4 linked regions of the Saccharomyces cerevisiae S288C genome follow. The gene in region 2 interacts genetically with the main gene of each other region. Each region holds a gene or a part of one and is shown on either strand. Other genes may lie near its edges. The genes, in order: DIT2, TVP38, PMT6 and POX1.

What was found.
Region 1: mutations in TVP38 (region 2) and DIT2 together harm fitness more than expected from each alone (negative genetic interaction), as found in Saccharomyces cerevisiae (2 studies listed by BioGRID).
Region 3: mutations in TVP38 (region 2) and PMT6 together harm fitness more than expected from each alone (negative genetic interaction), as found in Saccharomyces cerevisiae (2 studies listed by BioGRID).
Region 4: mutations in TVP38 (region 2) and POX1 together harm fitness more than expected from each alone (negative genetic interaction), as found in Saccharomyces cerevisiae (2 studies listed by BioGRID).

Annotation. Positions count from the first base shown.
Region 1 is NC_001136.10:1,271,013-1,275,778, forward strand, and holds DIT2 (putative cytochrome P450), read right to left. Parts: upstream 2,692-4,766; coding exon 1,222-2,691; downstream 1-1,221. Other genes in the region: URH1 (trifunctional uridine nucleosidase/nicotinamide riboside hydrolase/nicotinic acid riboside hydrolase), read left to right, coding at 51-1,073; DIT1 (Dit1p), read left to right, coding at 3,590-4,766. UniProt on the Saccharomyces cerevisiae protein: Involved in spore wall maturation. Thought to catalyze the oxidation of tyrosine residues in the formation of LL-dityrosine a precursor of the spore wall.
Region 2 is NC_001143.9:603,422-607,828, forward strand, and holds TVP38 (Tvp38p), read right to left. Parts: upstream 1,998-4,407; coding exon 984-1,997; downstream 1-983. Other genes in the region: OMA1 (metalloendopeptidase), read right to left, coding at 1-811; TGL4 (triacylglycerol lipase), read right to left, coding at 2,212-4,407. UniProt on the Saccharomyces cerevisiae protein: Golgi membrane protein involved in vesicular trafficking and spindle migration.
Region 3 is NC_001139.9:894,600-900,281, forward strand, and holds PMT6 (dolichyl-phosphate-mannose-protein mannosyltransferase PMT6), read left to right. Parts: upstream 1-2,902; coding exon 2,903-5,182; downstream 5,183-5,682. Other genes in the region: YPP1 (Ypp1p), read left to right, coding at 94-2,547; Elongator subunit ELP2, read right to left, coding at 5,305-5,682. UniProt on the Saccharomyces cerevisiae protein: Protein O-mannosyltransferase involved in O-glycosylation which is essential for cell wall rigidity. Transfers mannose from Dol-P-mannose to Ser or Thr residues on proteins.
Region 4 is NC_001139.9:106,030-111,503, reverse strand, and holds POX1 (acyl-CoA oxidase), read right to left. Parts: upstream 3,347-5,474; coding exon 1,100-3,346; downstream 1-1,099. Other genes in the region: CHC1 (clathrin heavy chain), read left to right, coding at 4,000-5,474.

The sequences.
Region 1 (4,766 bases), on a different chromosome or scaffold from region 2:
AGGTTGGGGAAGGGTTGGACAGCAATAACCAGCGACTGTTTGAAGAAAAGATGACTGTTAGTAAAATACCCATATGGCTAGATTGTGATCCTGGTCATGATGATGCCATAGCCATTTTATTAGGCTGTTTCCATCCAGCTTTCAATCTTCTAGGAATCAGCACGTGTTTTGGTAACGCACCGCCAGAGAATACTGACTACAACGCCCGTTCTCTTTTGACTGCGATGGGCAAAGCACAAGCGATTCCAGTTTATAAAGGCGCACAGAGACCTTGGAAAAGGGAACCTCATTATGCTCCTGACATTCATGGTATATCAGGTTTAGACGGCACTTCTTTGCTACCTAAGCCAACATTTGAGGCAAGAACTGATAAAACGTATATTGAGGCCATTGAAGAGGCGATTCTAGCTAACAATGGAGAGATATCCTTTGTGTCTACTGGTGCACTTACCACATTAGCAACAGTTTTTAGGTGTAAACCATACCTAAAAAAATCTGTCAAATATATTAGCATTATGGGGGGTGGACTCCATGGTCTAGGAAACTGTAACCCAAATCTTTCTGCTGAATTCAACGTTTGGATTGATCCTGACGCAGCGAATTACATATTCCGTGATCCCGATGTAAAGGACAAATGTATAGTAGTTCCTCTAAATTTAACTCACAAGGCCATAGCTACTTACAAGGTTAACGAAATGATATACAACGAAAAGAATAACAGCAAGTTACGAGAATTGTTTTTGGAGCTTTTTCAATTTTTTGCTCATACCTACAAGGATATGCAAGGATTTGAATCGGGCCCACCTATACATGATCCGGTAGCTTTGATGCCGCTTTTGGAATTTTATGGGTGGGATCCATCGTCTGCGGTTGGATTTCGCTACAAGAGAATGGACATATCCTGCATTGATGATGTTTTCAACGAAAACTCAGGGAAAATTATCATTGAAAAAGAATATCCAAATGACAGTGATGTTGGTACAATAATTGGTCTCGATTTGAATATCCAGTACTTTTGGGATCAGATTTTTGAAGCATTAAATAGAGCAGACAAAATGTCAACGATTGGATAAGAACTTCTATAAAAGGCTTTTTTTTTTTCTACTGACCTTTGGTCAGGTTCTGTTCCTTTCATTTTCACTGGATACAAAGAAGTTTCACTAAAAGTTGTCGCGATTGTATACATATATGCGTATATATACAATTCTACATGTTTTATATTTATTCCATTATATTCTCGTTAAATTTTAACTTTAAATTAAGAGGGCAAAGAGGCCCAGCGGGAGTTAATTTTTCTTCCCATTCAGGGTCAAGACTCCATCGAAACTGTTTCAACATTTCAGCCAAAGAAATTCTCATTTCTGTTAGGGCTAGTTTTTCCCCTAGGCATGCTCTTCGGCCTCCATGGAACCCAGTCACAGCACATCTGTTTTTCGCCATTCTCCAGTTTTTCCTTATGGTTTCGATATCTGAACCCCATCTTTCTGGTTTAAAATCATCTGCTGTTGTGCCCCAAGTTTTGGGATCGTGTGAGGTTCCAAAGTTGTTGTACCCGACATATACGCCCTTGGGTATAACAATTTCCGCCCCCAACTTGCACGTTTTGGTAGTACATCTATTAATAATTGTGCTCAAAGGAGGATACATTCTTACTACTTCGAAGAGAAAAGCATTTAATAAGGGTAAATCTGCTAAGCCTTTTGGATCAGTGATGCCGTTTACTTCCTTCCTGAGTTTCTCTTGCCATTCATTTGAATATTTGGCTAGAAGGTAGAGTGAACTATTAAATAGCAACTGCGGGTTTTCATGGCCAGCGACAAGGATAATGACGATATTATCGGTCAACTGTTTGTAGTCGATTATTTCGTTATTGTGAGCACGAATTAGATCACTGGCAGCAAAAGTAGTTTGTTCAAATTTGTAATTATTGACTAATTCATCTTGAACTCTTTTAACGAGAAGTTCTCTAAAACTAACAACATCCTTGAAGGCTTTTTTTCTTGAAGGAATAGGAAGAACATCAAGGAATGGAAAAGTTAAAAAGAATGGATGAAATATTTGCTTTTTAATACGAATCAAATGCTCGTGGAAAGCATTTTTTTCATGTGTTAGAGCACCAAAATCAAATCCAAGGGCAACCTGTGAAATGTTATCCAATGCCATTCTCTGGGATAAAGGTCCCATAGGGATCGAAGTTTGTCCTTCTAGGAGTCTGTTTTTTATCAAAGTGCATAAAATTTTTGCATTTTTGAATATAGGTGCATCGTCAAAATGTTGGAGCCCGTTTGTCACAGCATTTCTGTAGTTTCTCCAAACTGCACCATACGCGCTAATGACATTGTCCCCTGTGTAAGCGGCAAGAGCACTGTATGGGATTTTCTTTTGATTACCGCTCTTCGCAAAAGTATCTTCATCTTTGAATATTTGTGCTAGATACTCAGAACGAGAAACGAGAATATTCCACCGTGAACCAAAGAAAAATTTTACAGCACCGTATTTTTCCATTGATTCCCTAATATAAAGATCGTATAGCTCCGTTTGATCAATGGGAAATATTACTGGTAAAAATACTACATAAAATGGGATGGTGGGTATATTTTTGGGAAAGTTTAGAGGTGGGACAATGATTGCAAAGGCGACATAGGAAAGAGTAAGAAATAAAATCAAACACAGAAGCTTTAACAACTCCATTTTTAATGCTTTTTTCGATTTATTCTCTTAGTCTGAATCAAATACCATTTTGAAAAAACGAAAATATTTCAAGAAAATTAATGTATTTTTTTGCACTACCTAATATACTATTCGCATCAGGATGACCAGTCATTCCTCTTGTGGTCCGTGGCTTGTAATTTTCGGGAAAGATAGAAATCACTGCATTCATCGAAAGAAGTGAAAATAAATTGTATCGGGGAAGTAATGAGGGGTGGAATACGTAATTGCTTCTCAATTTGATAATACAAGTTACAGTCTTTTTATTGAGAGTCCCTGGAAGGAAAATTATTGATGTTTACCTTTTTTTGCGACGCGCGTCTGGCCATAAATAAAAGGGTTCTCTTGCCAAGAAAAAATAAAAAGGCGCCTTAAGGGACCTTCTATGACAAATATGGTGAGGTATGCAACCTCAATGAAGAGCAATGAGAAAATTTAAGGGGTAAGTAAGCATCGGAATTTGTTGTTTCCTAACAATTTGTCTAATTTACTCAATAATATCAGGAGAATTGATCGAAAAAAGCAAACCAGGAACCCCTCACAAATAAGGGAACATAAAGTAATTGCTCGTCTTTACATACATGGCACTCAATCCCAGACGTCGCGTGCTAAAAATCCTTATATTATTGGCCCCTCAGGAGTTTATTTGAATTTTGATTGCATTGCTTTCAGTGGACAGTATATCATAAAATTTGCAAGGGCATAGTGCCTGCCCTACGATGTTGTAAAACAATTTCTGAAAATAGGTTCAGAATCAAAAATGATGTATAAATATTGAAATAAATTTTCACATAAATTGTGCTCCTCCGCAAAGTCTTGACTAAATAAACAATTTGTTAATATCCTAATTCGGTAAAGCTTTGTCGAGACATTAACAAAAATGACATTTACTAGCAACTTGCCCTCAAGCTCCGAGCAGTCAATATCACCACCTGCCTCTTCATTTTCTTCATCGACTGATACGTTGAAAGATATTGATATTCCCCATAATGGGGCCGATTTGTCTACATATAGTAAATTTCTGGCCCTGTATTGCAGAAGCGACAAATGTGACGATTTTTACTCTTTAGAGGAAAAACAGAATTGTAAATTTGGAGACCAATGGCTCGACTTTATCAACACTATTCACAATCTGGACTTTTCTGAATCCGAAGTAAGTGGACGGGTTTCTGAAAGAATTTTGCCAGCTTCTTTAGCAAATAAATTTACCAATAATTTAGGAGTGGCAATAAAGATTTCTGAATATACACGCGATGACGAACGCCAGATTCGTGGGTGTGTTACAACAGTTGAGAATGAAAATTCTTTCAATAACTGGTTCGTATATCATATTTTAGACCAATCTCAATTATCTCTAAGTGAACATCCAATTGTAACCAAAGAAGTTAAGTATCACGAATTATTTGCAGATTTTTTTGAGAAAAATTTGAAAAACACAATAGTTAATGATCAATGGAATTTTGGTGGCCGTGATTATTTTATTGAACGTTCAAGATATTTTACCGATCGATATTTGAGAATTGAATGCATCTTGCCAGCGTTTCCATGTAAGTCATCTAATGAGCAAAAAGTGTACGGTTCCGTTCCTGACAAAGGCGAAGAACTCGCTTTGAAAAGATTAATAAAAGCCACACAAGACCTTGTCAAGATATATCCACCGGGTATGAAAATTTGGATAGTTAGTGATGGCCATGTTTTCTCCGATTGTATTGGGGTCGATGATGACGTCGTGAGTACTTACACGACCAAATTGCACGAACTGTATAAAAGAGTGGCTATACCTGGTGTTGACGCCATTGGCTTTTGTGGATTGAACGATTTATTTTTTAGCGGTGCAGCTAGTAAAGTTTTCGATCCAAAGTGGGTTAGTGATGTTGAAGTTGCACACTACACAGGAACTCAAATCTGTCCTAAGTCCGATTTGTCGAGACAGATTTTGATGAAAGGCTGTGATACAGATGCAGGTCGTTTGAGAAAGCAGATTGCAATAGAAGGACATCCAAGATTGCATCTGTATAGGGGCTTTTCACGTTTTATGATGGAAGATTTATCTCTAC
Region 2 (4,407 bases):
CCCTTGACATTATCATCAGGCCAATGTAATCAGCTTCGGTTTCCATCTGTCTTGATGCTGGCATTCGCAAAAACCCATCCAATAGTATATTGTTGATAGCATGAGCTCCAGTAACAGTATATAACACCAAACCCAAAAGAGAATATATAGGAGCCTTCGACAAATTTTCGGCTGTGTGTCTTGCTAGCTGATGAGCAAATTCGTGTGCTAAAACAGTGGCAATCCCATCATCATTAGCACAAATAGGTAAAATAGAGCTGAATATAAAGACCTTACCCCCTGGTAAAACGAATGCATTTGGTGAAGCAGTTGGATCATTGACCACATGAATTTCCCACTTGATTCCGTCCAGTAGTGAGTTGTCTACACTAGGGTCCTTATAAGCAGCTTCGACAATTTTCATGAAAATATTCTCAATTTTGATGGACAGCGGATGCTGTGGAGGTAATATTTCCTGCTGCGTTTGTCTCCAAATTGATTTGTATGTGTAATTTCCGATAGTTAACTCTAATGGACGCGATACCCAGATGAACCTGGACCTATCGCTTACCGGTGCTTTATCCAAATGTGTATAATAAAAGAGAGAGCATCCACCAAATAATAAAGCTAAGTATTTTCTTGATGACTTATCGAGAAGAATGCTTTTAAACGATGATTTTTGGGAATACTCTCCATTATTAAATCGACGATATGAAGGACCATTGTCATAGCGGTAACATCGCGTTAACTGAACACGAAATGATACAGGTTTTAAAAATCCTCCACTGGTCCCTTTTCCAAATCCTTTGAACCTGATGATGTTGCGTAACATTTCTTGTATTTTATCTTTCCATACCTTAACTTAGATTGGTTGATGTCGCTTCGAAAAACTGCTTTTTGTCTTTTAAGTTCTTTATATCGGACGTAGAAAGAAGTAGAAATAGTAATTTGGGTTACCCATATAAAACCAACTTATCTAAACATATATAAACGTATACGGAGGATTAGACCTCAAAAGACAATTCAGGTAGTTGATCAGTGGACACTTGACGGTCGCGGTTTTGTAGTTCTAAATATCTCTTCTTAGTCTTGAAGTATAAGAGCCATGCTGTAAGACTTAGGATTAATAATGTGATAATAATGCTTACCAAGTCAAATACCCTAGATCCTGTAGATTCAGATTCTGCGAGACTCTTTACACGAGAACCTATAAATAGATAGATGAACAGCTTTGGTGTGGTTATTATGTTGGCAATGGAAAAGTTGCGTACCGAGATACCGTAAACACCAGCTATGGCACCATTAGTCAAAGAATATGGGAAGGGACATAATCTCAGTAGAGCTAGAATCCAATAGCTATTGTTTTCTTGTAAAATTGAAGCCAATGCTTCAAATCTTCTATTCAAATGCACAAGCTTTTCTGCTCTTGAATGCAAGATCGTCTTGAACACAACGAAAGAGGCAATGGAACCTGTTACAGATCCCAAAGCTAGCGTAACCCATCCCTCAAAACTGACACCATAGATCAACCCAGTAGTGGTGGATAATAAGGAGTAGCCAATCATAGGAGGAAATGCGACAAAGAATATCAGAACCATTAATATAAAATGTGTTGACATCTTTTCTCTCAAATCGTTCGAAGTAACAACAACTTTATGTAAAATCGCATTATGGAAGACGAGCAACAATATACCCATTATCATTAGCATTATGCCGAGGAGGACAATGATAATCTGTTGCCATAAGCGTAGTGAATAAAAATAAAACTGTAATTTTTGAACATTCTTCCTGATATTATGCATCAATCTCTCTCTAGGGGACATATTATAAATGTCTAAAAAATCATCATCATTAACATTTACTTCGTCATTGAATGACAATCCAGCATTAGTACCAACCCTTTGTCCATTATTACTATTTGGCATGATATCGTTGTCAAAGTCTTCGAAATAGCCATCAAATTCATCATCCTCCCCTTGGCCCATATTGGCATTTCCTGCTTCGTAAGACTGACTCATTTGTGTAACCAATATCTTTCTTCCACCATAATAATATTTTCAAATATGTTGAAGGTATTGTTTTAGTAAAGTGGCTTTTTTTCTTAGTGCAGCTCGAGAGAAAACAATGATTTCGATTTCCGCTTTGAAAATGATATGAATGAGAAAGGCCATTCGAATAAATACATAGATGAAAAAGAATATCTAGAGGATATATAAGCAAGCCCGTGTTTTCTTATTGAGTAAAACTGGTGGTGCTTTTGTGCTGCGTTGAAGAAGAAGGCCTCGATCGAAACGGTGAGCTCTTTGTAGCTTGAGAAGGGGGTCTTCCATCAATGCTATGACGCCTGAAATTGCCCGCTAAATCACTATGAATCATTGCGTCTGAATCGAAGTTACTTATCAGTCTCAATGTAGGATGGTCTTCTTTATCCGAATCTGTGTATAATATGTTGCTACTGCTGACCCATTTTTTGTTCATATGCCTCAAGTATCTACTCTTTCGGCCAAAATGCAATTTCTTGTCTACCATGGCAGGTGTTTCAATGCTGGCAGAATGTGGGATAAGTTCATGGCTTTCCGGGTCATAGGTCTTGGCATCCATAGGAAACATTAGCCGGCCCATACTTGTTTTTTTCTGCAGAATTGGCGGTGGGTGTCCATTGATTTTGCTGGATTGCCTCAACATCCTTGATGTGGGAGAAGCAACTGAAAATGAAAAGGATTTGGCTGGTCGCCTTGAAGTTGAAATAGTATCTGATTTCCTTCTTTGGTGACGCGGATTGAGAGAAGCGGACGTAATGGAATACCGCGGTCTAAACCCGGAAGGTGACCGCCCATATGTGCTTGCATTCTCACGTAACAATAGCAAAGAGTTTGTCGATTCTGATTCTAATAAGTTGTCATCTAAAACATTGGAAATATGATTGTCACCCTTGGTTGGAGTCCTAGTTAGCAATGTTGAATTTTCTGGGTTTTTGGACTCATCTGACGTTTGCTCTGGAGCTTTAATTAATCCAATGACTGAATCAGCAAATTGGAAGGGGGTTTTTAAAGAGGAGGTGACAATCATCCTACCTTTGATATAAGAAATCGCCTTATCCAGAGCAAATTCCTGGCCACAGTGATTTTGAATAATGGAAACCTTGGGCCACGTAGCTTTTGCACCATTGGTGATTTCCCTTAATAAAAATTCTTTTGTTGGGTTTGACAACAGCTCCTTTATTCTAAAAAGCATACACATGTCGGGCAAAATAGTGATGTCACCAGAATATTGTTGAGATAATACCGATCTCAGTTTTGTAAGCGCGTTTTTGGCAATTCCCATCTCACTTCCAATTTCTAGAATATGAATAGCTTCATTGGCCATAAAATTGTATATACTTGATAAGTTTTGCTTTAATCTTGCACTAAATTCGTCCTCAATTTCCCCGCCAACACAGGATAGTGATAGTTTCAAAAAGGGAAATACGTGAATATTCACCTGGCATGCGATAATATGGTCTACATTAAACATTTCAGAAAGACGAGAAATGGGCAAGTCATTGTCCACAGAACCATCGACAAATTTGACCGAACTACTACCAGTCCATGGTTTCCTTTCTCCCGTTTTTGGATCTTTTTCGTAAAGTGGGCTCGAGGGGAAAATTCCCGGTAGTGAACATGATGCACATACGGCGGACCAAATCAGGACGTTTGGTGCAGTCAAATTATTCAGCAAGCGCGGTTGTTCAAATAAAGATGCCGGCGAAACGGTTATATTCAAAATTTTACCCGTTCTATTGTAAGCTTCCCTAAATGTCAAATCTCCCAAAAATTCTATCATTGTATTTACCAGATGCTTGTTATCAAACCACGTACCGTTTTTGAAGAACCTAGATATTTTTATTAACAAATTCTCGCTTTCACTTTTCTGTTTATCGTCTTTGAAAATGTTGAATTCTTTATCCAAAATATGATTTAGTAAAACCGGAATTTCTTCTTTGTGATGGACAGATAATATGCTTGCTACAATTGCACCAGCACTGCTACCACTAATCACTCTGGGTAATAAATCCAATTCAAATAGAGTACCAAGGACACCGATGTGGAAAAGACCAAAAGTTCCACCCCCACTGAGAACTAAAGCGGTACGACCAATATTTCTTCTCGTTTGTTGCAGTATACCCAAAAGGTAACTATCATCAAGATCAGACTCCATTAAAGATTCTAGCGCTAACCTAGACTCCATCATATACTCGTCAATTAAATATTTGGTGCCTACATGGGAGTGCCTATATAGGTTTACATTCCCCATATTTCCCAGGTTTCGTACCCAATTCGTCCTAATGATGTACAACAATTGAGCGTAATTCCTATTCAAGCGCTCCTCACGCATTCTAGATGTTAAATCTTTTATTAGCTTGTAATCATACAAGGGACTTTCCAATTT
Region 3 (5,682 bases), on a different chromosome or scaffold from region 2:
TGTGCTTTAGGTGTGCAAGGCATAATGTGTGGCATACTGGAAGGAACAAGTTGAACACGCCAGCTGGAAAGAAGTTCAATACCAACTTGCCCAATGCCTAACTCAAATGTTCGGATTCCTCCTACTGTTCCATCGAAGATAATAGATGTGGTCGACCAAGCGCTAAGAGCGCGACTCTTAGGTGGCAGCACCTTCAATTCAGGGTTTGATAGTTTAGATTCCGTACTTAACTTACAGTTTAGACTACATTACCATGTTATTGGATCGAATGGGCCTGCAAAACCAGTTTGTGATGTTTTACTGAAGGAAAGTCAAAATTTAGAAAAGAATATGAGTATGATGGAGGAGTTGAATGACTATCCGGAGATTACAAAACTAGTGGAGAAAATTCTGTTCAATTGCCTCGGTATTCTTTTCTTCCACAGGGGCCAATTTCAGGAATCGCAGCGGTGCTTGCTGCACTCGTTGAAAATTCATAATAACACTGCATCGCAAAAAACAGCACTTATGGAGCAGTATGATAGGTATTTGATCGTAGAAAACCTGTACTACCGTGGTCTAGTTTCGCAAGACATAAATATCATGCAAAATGTTTTTTACAAAGAACTACTGGCCCACGTGGATACGATCCCTCCCGAATCAAACGGTCTTCTTTTCGAATACATCAGCTTGATCGTCGCAAAACTCAGGTTCAATCAAATTCAGGATTTAGCAGAAAATTTTAAAACTACCGTCGAAAATCCTTTTATTCTTTTCCTTTACATGATAAAGAAGTTCCAGTCACCTCTCAAAAAGCACATTGATAATGATGATCTTTATTTGAAGTTCGGACAGAACGTTTTGTTGAAGGCCAAATTTCCTACTGCTAGTGAGACAAATGATGAAGCTTTGGAGCATTTTAATGTCTTTTTGCAGTATTATTTCAAATTCACTCACATAAAAAAAATAAAAGTGAATCCCAGTTGGTATAATTTCATAATATCTTCAATGGAAAAGACTTTTCAAAGTATTGAAGTTTCGAAAACAGCAATGTTTCTTTTCCAAAACCTAAGCGATAACAGTAATGACGAAATAAAGAAGAAGACATTTAAAAGAGAATCTATACTAAATTTTGTTAATTTTGTGAAATACAACGACAAGTACTATCAACTGCACGATAACTCCCACCGTGACATAATTTCATTCATTGATGCGTATTCTTTTATTTTACAAAACTCCTCCAAAACCGATTCAATCGAAAATGTTTTTGATTACGATAATACGGTATCTACGTTTGCGACTTCCTTGAATTCCTTCTACAAAGAATATAATTTGCCATTAATGAGCCAATCAGAATCTTTAGATTGGCTAGAAAACAGCACCAGATGTGTATACCCAGGAAACATTTCGAAAGTTCTAACAAATGCGTGGTCAACATTGTACGAAATCAGAAAATATCAGTTAGATTTTCTTGTATCTAATAATTTGACTTCATATCTATGTAATGCAATGATGCTGTCCACAAAAGAAAAAGACAATGCTGATGTAGAAGAGCAGGAAGAAGGAGAGGAGGAGAAGGCATTACGTGAATTACAATTTAAATATTCTTACACTCTAGCACAACAGAGGCACATTGAAACTGCAATCAAGACTCTAGAATCATTGATATTAAGTAAAAACCCAAATTACTACAAAGCTTGGCATCTATTAGCTCTTTGTAGGTCTGTGCAAGAGGATAAGGAAATGTCGTACAAGATAGTTTGCTCTGTTCTAGAAGCTATGAATGAAAGTCTTCAGAACAATACTTTACTTCTGAATGATAGATGGCAATTTATTCACCTAAAATTAACGCAATTGGCGCTAATTGAAGAAATTTTTGGCACTTTAGAGGCACTGGAGACACTTCCAGAGGTCTTTGAATTATACGCAACATTATTTCCAGATTCACAACCTGAATTGAACAGCATGGGTCCCAAATATTCTCAAACTAAAGAATATCTTTTACAAATGGTGTGGATTTTTGCTGCAAATATGTACATGAGAACAAAAGACAATGATGAGGATGCCAAGGCCGCCATCAAAGAAGCCTCCAATGTCGAAAGTAAATTCAAGAATTTAAATTGTAATATTGCTAACGGTTATTTATCAATAATAAAAGATGAACCAGGCGTGGCATTAAAGGAATTTGAAACAGTTCTGTACTATGATGAGAATAATTTAGATGCCTTGGTCGGATTCGCTGAATTAATTTTCCCTGAAGAACTAGGCGTCGAGGAAACTAATCTTGAGCGTTATTATACTCTCAGCCTTGATAAAAAACCAGGTAAGAGGGCCAAACTTACGTTCGTTAATGACACAGATAGGTCAGCAGCGTATGCAAGACTAAAATTTCTATTGGAGTGCGCAATACTAGAATCGATCGAGGCTTACTATTCCCCAGAAGTTTGGTGGTATTTGTCCCTCATTTACGAGAAATATCAAGATGACGAGTACAAAAACTCTTTGCTAAAATGTATTAAATACCAAGAGTTGAATCCCATTCGCTCCCTAAGGTATTGCAATTACTAACGATAATTCTTCTGATATATACACACACATATATACATATGGGCGCAAGTATATTCTGGTGTAAAGATACTCATAGAAAGCATAAAGATGTAATTCAATCTAGTTGTATTATATTATTCATTGATTTATATTAATTTGATGAACAATGGAACATCTTCTCTTCAATAACGGTTTTGCCCATATACTTGACGTTATTAGGTTACCCGTTTTTATAAATGTAATAAGTTCAATAATTTGAAAAGAGCATTAGCTATAGTCACGTTTCGCGTTGAAACAATTCTTTAAATTATCTTCTCTTGGCAGTTTAATATACCAAACGATAGTCCTAACATACTGTTTTTCTTATTATTTACCAATGAGTAAAGCCAAGGGAACGGGATTTTCATCAATTGATACTGAAGATGAAAACTTACGCGAACGTTATGTTAATCAACCAAAAGCTAATGCCTCCGATATTCAAGATGAACAATTAGATTGCTTTGAGCAACTAGAAGAAAAACATAGGACAAAAAAAAATGAAGAATACACTGCGTTGAAAATTTTAAGGGATGTCATAGGTCCCCTTTTATTAACTATAACTTCGTTTTATCTAAGATTCCAACATATAGATCAGAACAATTATGTTGTCTGGGATGAGGCTCATTTTGGGAAATTCGGATCATACTACATCAAACATGAGTACTACCACGATGTCCACCCTCCACTTGGTAAAATGCTTATTGCATTGAGCGAATGGATGGCAGGATTTGACGGTCAATTTGACTTTTCCTCTAATAATGCATATCCGGAAAACGTAAACTTTAAACTAATGAGACAATTTAATGCCACATTTGGAGCTCTATGTACACCAGTAGCTTTCTTTACAGCCAAATGGATGGGGTTCAATTATTTTACTGTTTATTTGATTGCTACGATGGTAACGTTGGAACATTCATATATTGTCCTCTCAAAATTCATATTGCTAGATTCAATGCTGCTTTTTTTCTCGATGACGACTTTTGCCTGTATGATAAAGTTGTATACGTTGAGAAAGCAACAAATGACGAAAAAATGGTCGTTATGGATGTTATTAACTGGTTTATCTATTGGTTGCGTTTGTTCTGTGAAATGGGTTGGTCTTTTTATCACAGTTGTAGTCGGCCTCTACACATGTATAGAACTATTTTTGCTCTATTGTGATAAAGAATTGCCTAGAATAAAATATTACAAACATTGGCTTATCAGAATCATTAATCTGATAGTAATTCCTTTTCTTATCTATCTCTATTGCTTCAAAATTCACTTTGTGTTGTTGTACAAATCTGGCACGGGGGATTCTACTACAAATACGTTATTTCAGATAAACTTGGAGGGAACTCAGATTGAGGCGGGTCCTCGTGATGTAGCATTTGGGTCAGAGTTAACCATAAGGTCGCATGGTTTAAGCCCGAATCTGCTGCATTCACATATTCAAGTATACCCAGAAGGCTCTGGACAGCGCCAAATCACTGGATATGGATTCGCAGACTCTAATAATGTTTGGAAGTTTGAATTTTCTAGGTCTTCTGGATTGGAACTAGATCAGAACGGGACTTTGAATGGCAAAATAATCCCAATAACGGATGGTGTGGAAGTTCGTCTCAGCCATAAAAATACAGGATCGAATCTTCACTCGCATGATGTACCTTCTCACGTCTCTAGAGGAAATTATGAGGTTTCAGGCTATGGGTCACAAAGTGTTGGCGATGAAAAGGATGATTGGATAGTGGAGATTGTGAAACAAATGGATTCACCAAATCCCGTCTATTCTAATGAGAATTCAACTATTTTACATCCAGTTTCTACTTTCTTCAGGTTGAGACACAAAGTTTTAGGTTGTTACTTGGCTTCTACTGGATTGACGTATCCAGCTTGGGGATTTAAACAAGCTGAAATCGTCTGCAAAGACTCCTGGAGTCGTAGGGACAAATCGACCTGGTGGAATGTAGAAGATCACTGGAACCACAATTTAGAAACCGCAGAAGATTACGTTCCACCAAAATCCAATTTTTGGACCGATTTTATTCTAACTAATTTTGCCATGGCCTCCTCTAATAACGCGTTAGTGCCTGATGAGGATAAATATGATAGTTTATCGTCTGATGCATGGGAATGGCCAACCTTGCATAAAGGGCTAAGAATGTGTTCATGGGCGGGATATATCACTCGATATTACTTGATGGGATCTCCCTTCAATACATGGATTTCTACTGTCTCCTTAATCATCTTCCCATTTATTATTCTTTTTATATTATATCGTTGGAGGAGACAAACGCTTTATCTCTCAGACGATCAAATCTGGCAAATAACGATACAGGGTATTTTTCCTTTCATTTCCTGGATGACACATTATCTGCCTTTTGCAATGATGGGGAGAGTGACGTATGTACATCACTACGTTCCCGCTTTATATTTTGCAATGCTTGTTTTCGGATTTGTGCTTGATTTCACTTTGACAAGAGTCCATTGGATGGTCAAATATCCCATCTATTTGTCATTGTTTGGCGGATGTATATACATTTATAATTTATTTGCTCCAATATGTCAGGGTATGCATGGTGATAAAGCGGAATACTTACCTTTGCAGTGGTTATCTACTTGGGATATCGCACCTTAGTAAAAAAAAAAAAAACTCCAACTCCTTTACACAGAATCACGAAAATTGTAAATAATAATGCCAAATAAAGGCATTAACTTATTATCCTCTTCTTTTCACATGAGAAATGATATAGATATTGCCTATTCATATGCTAATGAGTATATACGGGTGGACAAATCACTACTTCCTACACCTAAAAATAATTTACCGTTTCTCTTTAAATGTGACCACCTCAATCTTGTAATTTTGTCTGCTGGTGTTATATCCTCGTTTAGCTGCGTTATTAACTCAAACTTTCCCAAAGTATAACTGTATAAATAAATCTCACCGTTTTCAAGACCCACCGATATCAAAATTTTCTCTCTTATCATGCTGTCATGTATGGAAATAGCAGTGACAGCTTTAGTGTGTTTAATTGATGCTTCCAGAACGTAGTCATCAGCTGGCTCCTTTTGGTGCCTCCATACTTTGACAGTTTTATCCCTGGACGCGGTGACAAAAACATTACCAAACTCTAA
Region 4 (5,474 bases), on a different chromosome or scaffold from region 2:
TTGGAATAAAAATCAACTATCATCTACTAACTAGTATTTACGTTACTAGTATATTATGATATTCGGTGTTAGAAGATGACGCAAATGATGAGAAATAGTCATCTAAATTAGTGGAAGCTGAAACGCAAGGATTGATAATGTAATAGGATCAATGAATATTAACATATAAAACGATGATGATAATATTTATAGAATTGTGTAGAATTGCAGACTCCCTTTTATGGATTCCTAAATCCTGGAGGAGAACTTCTAGTATATCTACATACCTAATATTATTGTGTTGATAATTAGAGGTTAAAAATTAGTATTAATGAAGAAGTGAGTACTGATCTTCTTATACTAAATAAGAGAGGTATATAAAACACACGCCGATTGGTCATATTAATCATGACCAATATAATAGTGATTCCGGTAGTTACTATACATTGATGTGACGACTCATATTCCTCATATATGTACCTACCATATCATGTTCAGCTAATAGGTCTTTAACACAGCTTCAGTATTGTCTGAGCTTCTCGTTTAACATTCCTTCTGCAATAGGCGCAATCACACTTAAACGTATACGATGTGTACATTAATATACGATGTAAGCATTAGATTGTTACCATAGCAACTCATGTCACTATTAATTACTCTCGTTCCAACATATTGCCTTATTAAAAATGGAATCCCAACAATTACATCAGAATCCACACAATCATCATGATGTTTTAGAGCTTCATTCCAACAAGTGCCAACACAGCACATTTATTATTTGTTATGTATATAATTCTGAGATATTGAGTAAACACTCAATAATTACCTGCCATCTTAGTATAGTGGTTAGTACACATCGTTGTGGCCGATGAAACCCTGGTTCGATTCTAGGAGATGGCAATTTTTTTACTACTATACATTGGTAAATGTAGTCATGTCATTGATTCGTCATAGTTATGTGAATAGTATTAGATATGTAAATAGATAGAGAGTACCGTTATGCACATAAGATGGCCTCTCACTAGGATTTTGTAACTTTTTGTTAAAACTTGGCGACACTAGTTGAATTGAAACAAAAGTCGCAAAACAGAGGGTTCGAAGGAAAACAGGAAACCTCTACTCACTTGTTTATTTTCGATAAAATTTCCGCATTAGCTGCACCACCTAACTTTTGGTCAAATTCGAAACCTCTACCGAGCATGCTGCTCAACAGCGCATGATAAGAAGGCTTCCCTGCCCCATCTGCCTCCACTGGATTATTGCGGCAAACTTCATTGAAGTAATTGTGATAGATATCGCCATCAAAGTAACCTATAGGAGAATTTAACATCGCGTCAGGTAATTCAAAGGAGTCTGTCAGACCTATACAGTCTTTCCTCACAATTGGCAAAAGAGCCAATAGTTGTGGCTGCACAACTTTAGAGATCTGATCAGGAGTGAAGATCTTGAATTGTTGGAATTCTCCGGAATGCTTGTCAATAAAATACAAGGAAAATAACTTATAAACATTCCACATAGATTCCTTTGTAATTTCATCGGAAATATGTGAATCACGAGAGTTTAACTTGTCGTAATAGGTTTTCAACATGCAGCGCAAGGCATGAAATTTGGATACTAAGACTAAAAGCTTAGAAACGCTATCAATACTTCTTGATTTTTCAACTAAAGTACCAATATGTGCCAGTAATTTGATTAAGGTGATAGACCAAATTTCAGTATAATCACCCAACTCCTTTAAACCACTCTTTATTTCTCCAGAAACCACAGATCCTATGTACTGAGGTTTTAAGTAAGAGAATGAGTCCACATCCAGTGTGTTGTCAAATCTACCCTTTGTGGCTGAATCGATAAATTTTTTCAATATTGATTTTGCTGAAGTTAAAGATAAAACATTATTATCACCCTCCCATGTGCACTGAACCACCCAGTCGTCATAGCCTTTACCAAATCCGTTATACTGTGAATACCCATGTCCTCCGCAAGTCTGTCTCAACTCATCAATCAGTGTAGCAATTAACCAAGTATTGGTGGCTTTCAAGCTGGCGCTATCAATAAATAAATTCTTCAACTTTTTACTCACGGTAACCAGAGCAGCTTTGTATGCAGATGAGGAAGCGTTGTATAACTCGTCCAAAGTGGAATAATAGTTGTCCATTAACTTAAAAGCTACAGGTGACACCAAATATGGAACACACAATTGTGGTAAAACACGATATTGGTGAAGGGGATAGTCGATTAATTGTGTTTCAGACAATCCCTTTCTAGGTGCGAATTGCTGACGACCAACCGCGTAACGTACAGCAATAGTAGCAAATTTGGAGCCAAACCTAAATGAATCCATGACCATGTTAACTCTACCACTTAACAATGCACTATAACCAGAAATTTGATCCAATTGTGGCTCAGTTTTGACGGTGACTGAACCATCTGGAGAACGGACAACTTTGGTAAATCTACTTAGCATAAATTCTCTAGGGATAACTACGTTTCTGAACTGGATCCAGCCATTATCAATACCGTCACGACCCATCTTCGCTCCAATATCCCCTATGGAAACACCAGCTAACAGTTGGAAAGTCGAAGGGTCTCTCAGAGGAACAACGAATGTTTTTACACCGTAGTCTTTACCTTCAACGATCAATCTGGCGTACACGGCAGCGTGCGTGGCAGAATGGGCAGCCCCACCAATCCACCATTTGGTGGCAGTTAGATCAGGTGTATCAATTACAAAAGTATCATTTTGCTTATCGTACACAGCCCTAGTCTGCAGCTGGGCAACATTGGAACCATGTCCTAACTCAGTCATTGCAAAACAGCCATATATACCTTTCATCAAAGTGGCACCTCTCTCCTGCAACCAATACCGGATTTGCTCATCAGTACCATTGCCCTTGATACAATTACCAAATAGCCCCAAGTGTACACCCACGCGCGTACCCAATTGAGGATCAATATTTGCTACAAGTGACAATCTCTTATCGAATATAAAAAGGTCTTTGTTTGTTAAAGGCGAAGCTTTGTCTGGATCATTTGCTTGCAACTCTTTCATCAGGTCAGTGTCGCGAAAGTGTTTGCGCACTGTTTTGATATCGTGCTCCATATAACTAGCAAGCCTAGCTATTTTTTTGGCAGTAATTTCTCTCTCTTGCATTTTTTTAGCATCGTAATAGTCCGTATCAGTTTTCAATATAGGATCATTCACTATTTGGTCTATTAAGGCGTGCGTCAGAGTTCTCCTCTCCGGGGATGACTCTAAAAATGTGTTAACTTGGTCAACTTTGATTTTCGAATCCGCCCTTTCTTTCTGGATAAATTTTTGAGGATTCAGAACCACCGAATCGGGATTAATAGTAGTACGTCTCGTCATATCGCAATACTAATTTATTATATTTTCTTTTTTTCTGTGATACTTATTAGTGTCAAGTGTGTATTCAAAAACGGAGAGCAATATTAGTGATGATGAGCGGAATGAGGAAAACTTTAAGGCCTGTTCAAGTTGTTTAAATAATTTTTACAGGTTAGACCTTTATAAACACTCTTAAAGCCCCAATGTATTAGTGCTTTGACTTAACAACGCCAACGTTCTCTTGTGTACTTGCTTGTAGGTGATTTACCCCAACGGCTATTAGCCGCTAATGACCGAATTCCTTTCGCTTCGGAGTTTAATCAACTAATACCGTAAATATAGGGCTTAAAATGTGTCAGGGTTTGAACGCAAAAAAAGGAGGTTTATAATAAAATATTAGCACATTATAGGTTTTAAAGTTAAAAAATAATAGGGTTAATTTTATTACCCTACCCCCTTTTTTTGGTCGAGATCTCGCATTTTTCGTCGCTAGGAATAAATACAAAGAGAATTAAGAAAAGTAAAAAGTGGAACTGAAGGAATCTACAGAAATAAGGAGATATTTTGATTAGTTGTTCAGAGTAACTTATTGAAACCTCGACAATCCGGATCAGAGTTGAGAGAGAAAGAAGATATTCAACTATAAAAATAAATTATCACGAAAGTTCTAACCAATGAGTGACCTACCCATTGAATTTACCGAATTGGTCGATCTGATGTCCTTAGGAATTTCCCCTCAATTCCTTGACTTCAGATCAACTACTTTCGAGAGTGACCACTTCGTCACTGTTAGAGAAACAAAGGACGGTACAAACTCTGTTGCAATCGTGGATTTGGCCAAAGGCAATGAAGTGACAAGGAAGAATATGGGCGGTGATTCTGCTATCATGCATCCATCTCAGATGGTTATTTCCGTTAGAGCAAATGGTACTATCGTGCAGATATTTAATTTGGAAACTAAGAGCAAGTTAAAGTCTTTTACTTTAGATGAACCTGTTATTTTTTGGAGGTGGTTGAGTGAAACCACTTTGGGTTTTGTTACCGCAAGATCCATACTGACCTCGAACGTCTTTGATGGTAACGTAAATGCTAAGCCTCAATTGCTTACCTTGAGACACGCTAACTTGAACAATACCCAAATTATCAATTTTGTGGCTAACAAAAACCTTGACTGGTTCGCAGTTGTTGGTATCTTACAAGAAAATGGCCGTATTGCCGGTAGAATTCAATTATTCTCAAAACAACGTAACATCTCCCAAGCTATCGACGGTCATGTTGCTATCTTTACGAATATATTACTAGAGGGTAATGGCTCGACCCCGGTACAAGTTTTCGTTACTGGTAACAGAAATGCCACCACCGGTGCTGGAGAATTAAGAATTATCGAGATTGATCACGATGCTTCATTGCCTTCTCAATATCAAAAGGAAACTACCGATATTTTCTTTCCACCAGATGCAACGAATGATTTCCCAATCGCTGTTCAGGTGTCTGAGAAATACGGCATAATTTACCTATTAACCAAGTATGGCTTCATCCATTTGTACGAATTGGAAACCGGTACCAATTTATTCGTTAATAGAATTACAGCAGAATCTGTTTTTACTGCAGCTCCGTACAATCACGAGAACGGTATTGCATGCATCAATAAAAAAGGTCAAGTTTTAGCAGTAGAGATTTCTACTTCTCAAATCGTTCCATATATCTTGAATAAATTATCTAATGTGGCACTGGCCTTAATCGTTGCTACAAGAGGTGGCTTACCAGGTGCAGATGATTTATTTCAAAAACAGTTTGAATCTTTATTGTTACAAAACGATTATCAAAATGCAGCTAAAGTTGCAGCCTCTTCCACTTCTTTAAGGAACCAAAACACCATCAACAGGTTGAAAAACATTCAAGCACCACCAGGCGCCATTTCTCCTATCCTACTTTACTTTTCAACACTATTGGATAAAGGGAAATTGAATAAAGAGGAAACAATTGAATTGGCTAGACCAGTTCTACAACAAGACAGAAAACAATTGTTCGAAAAATGGTTAAAGGAAGATAAACTAGAATGTTCAGAAGAACTAGGTGACATCGTTAAGCCTTTCGATACTACTTTAGCGCTAGCTTGCTACTTAAGAGCAGGTGCCCATGCAAAAGT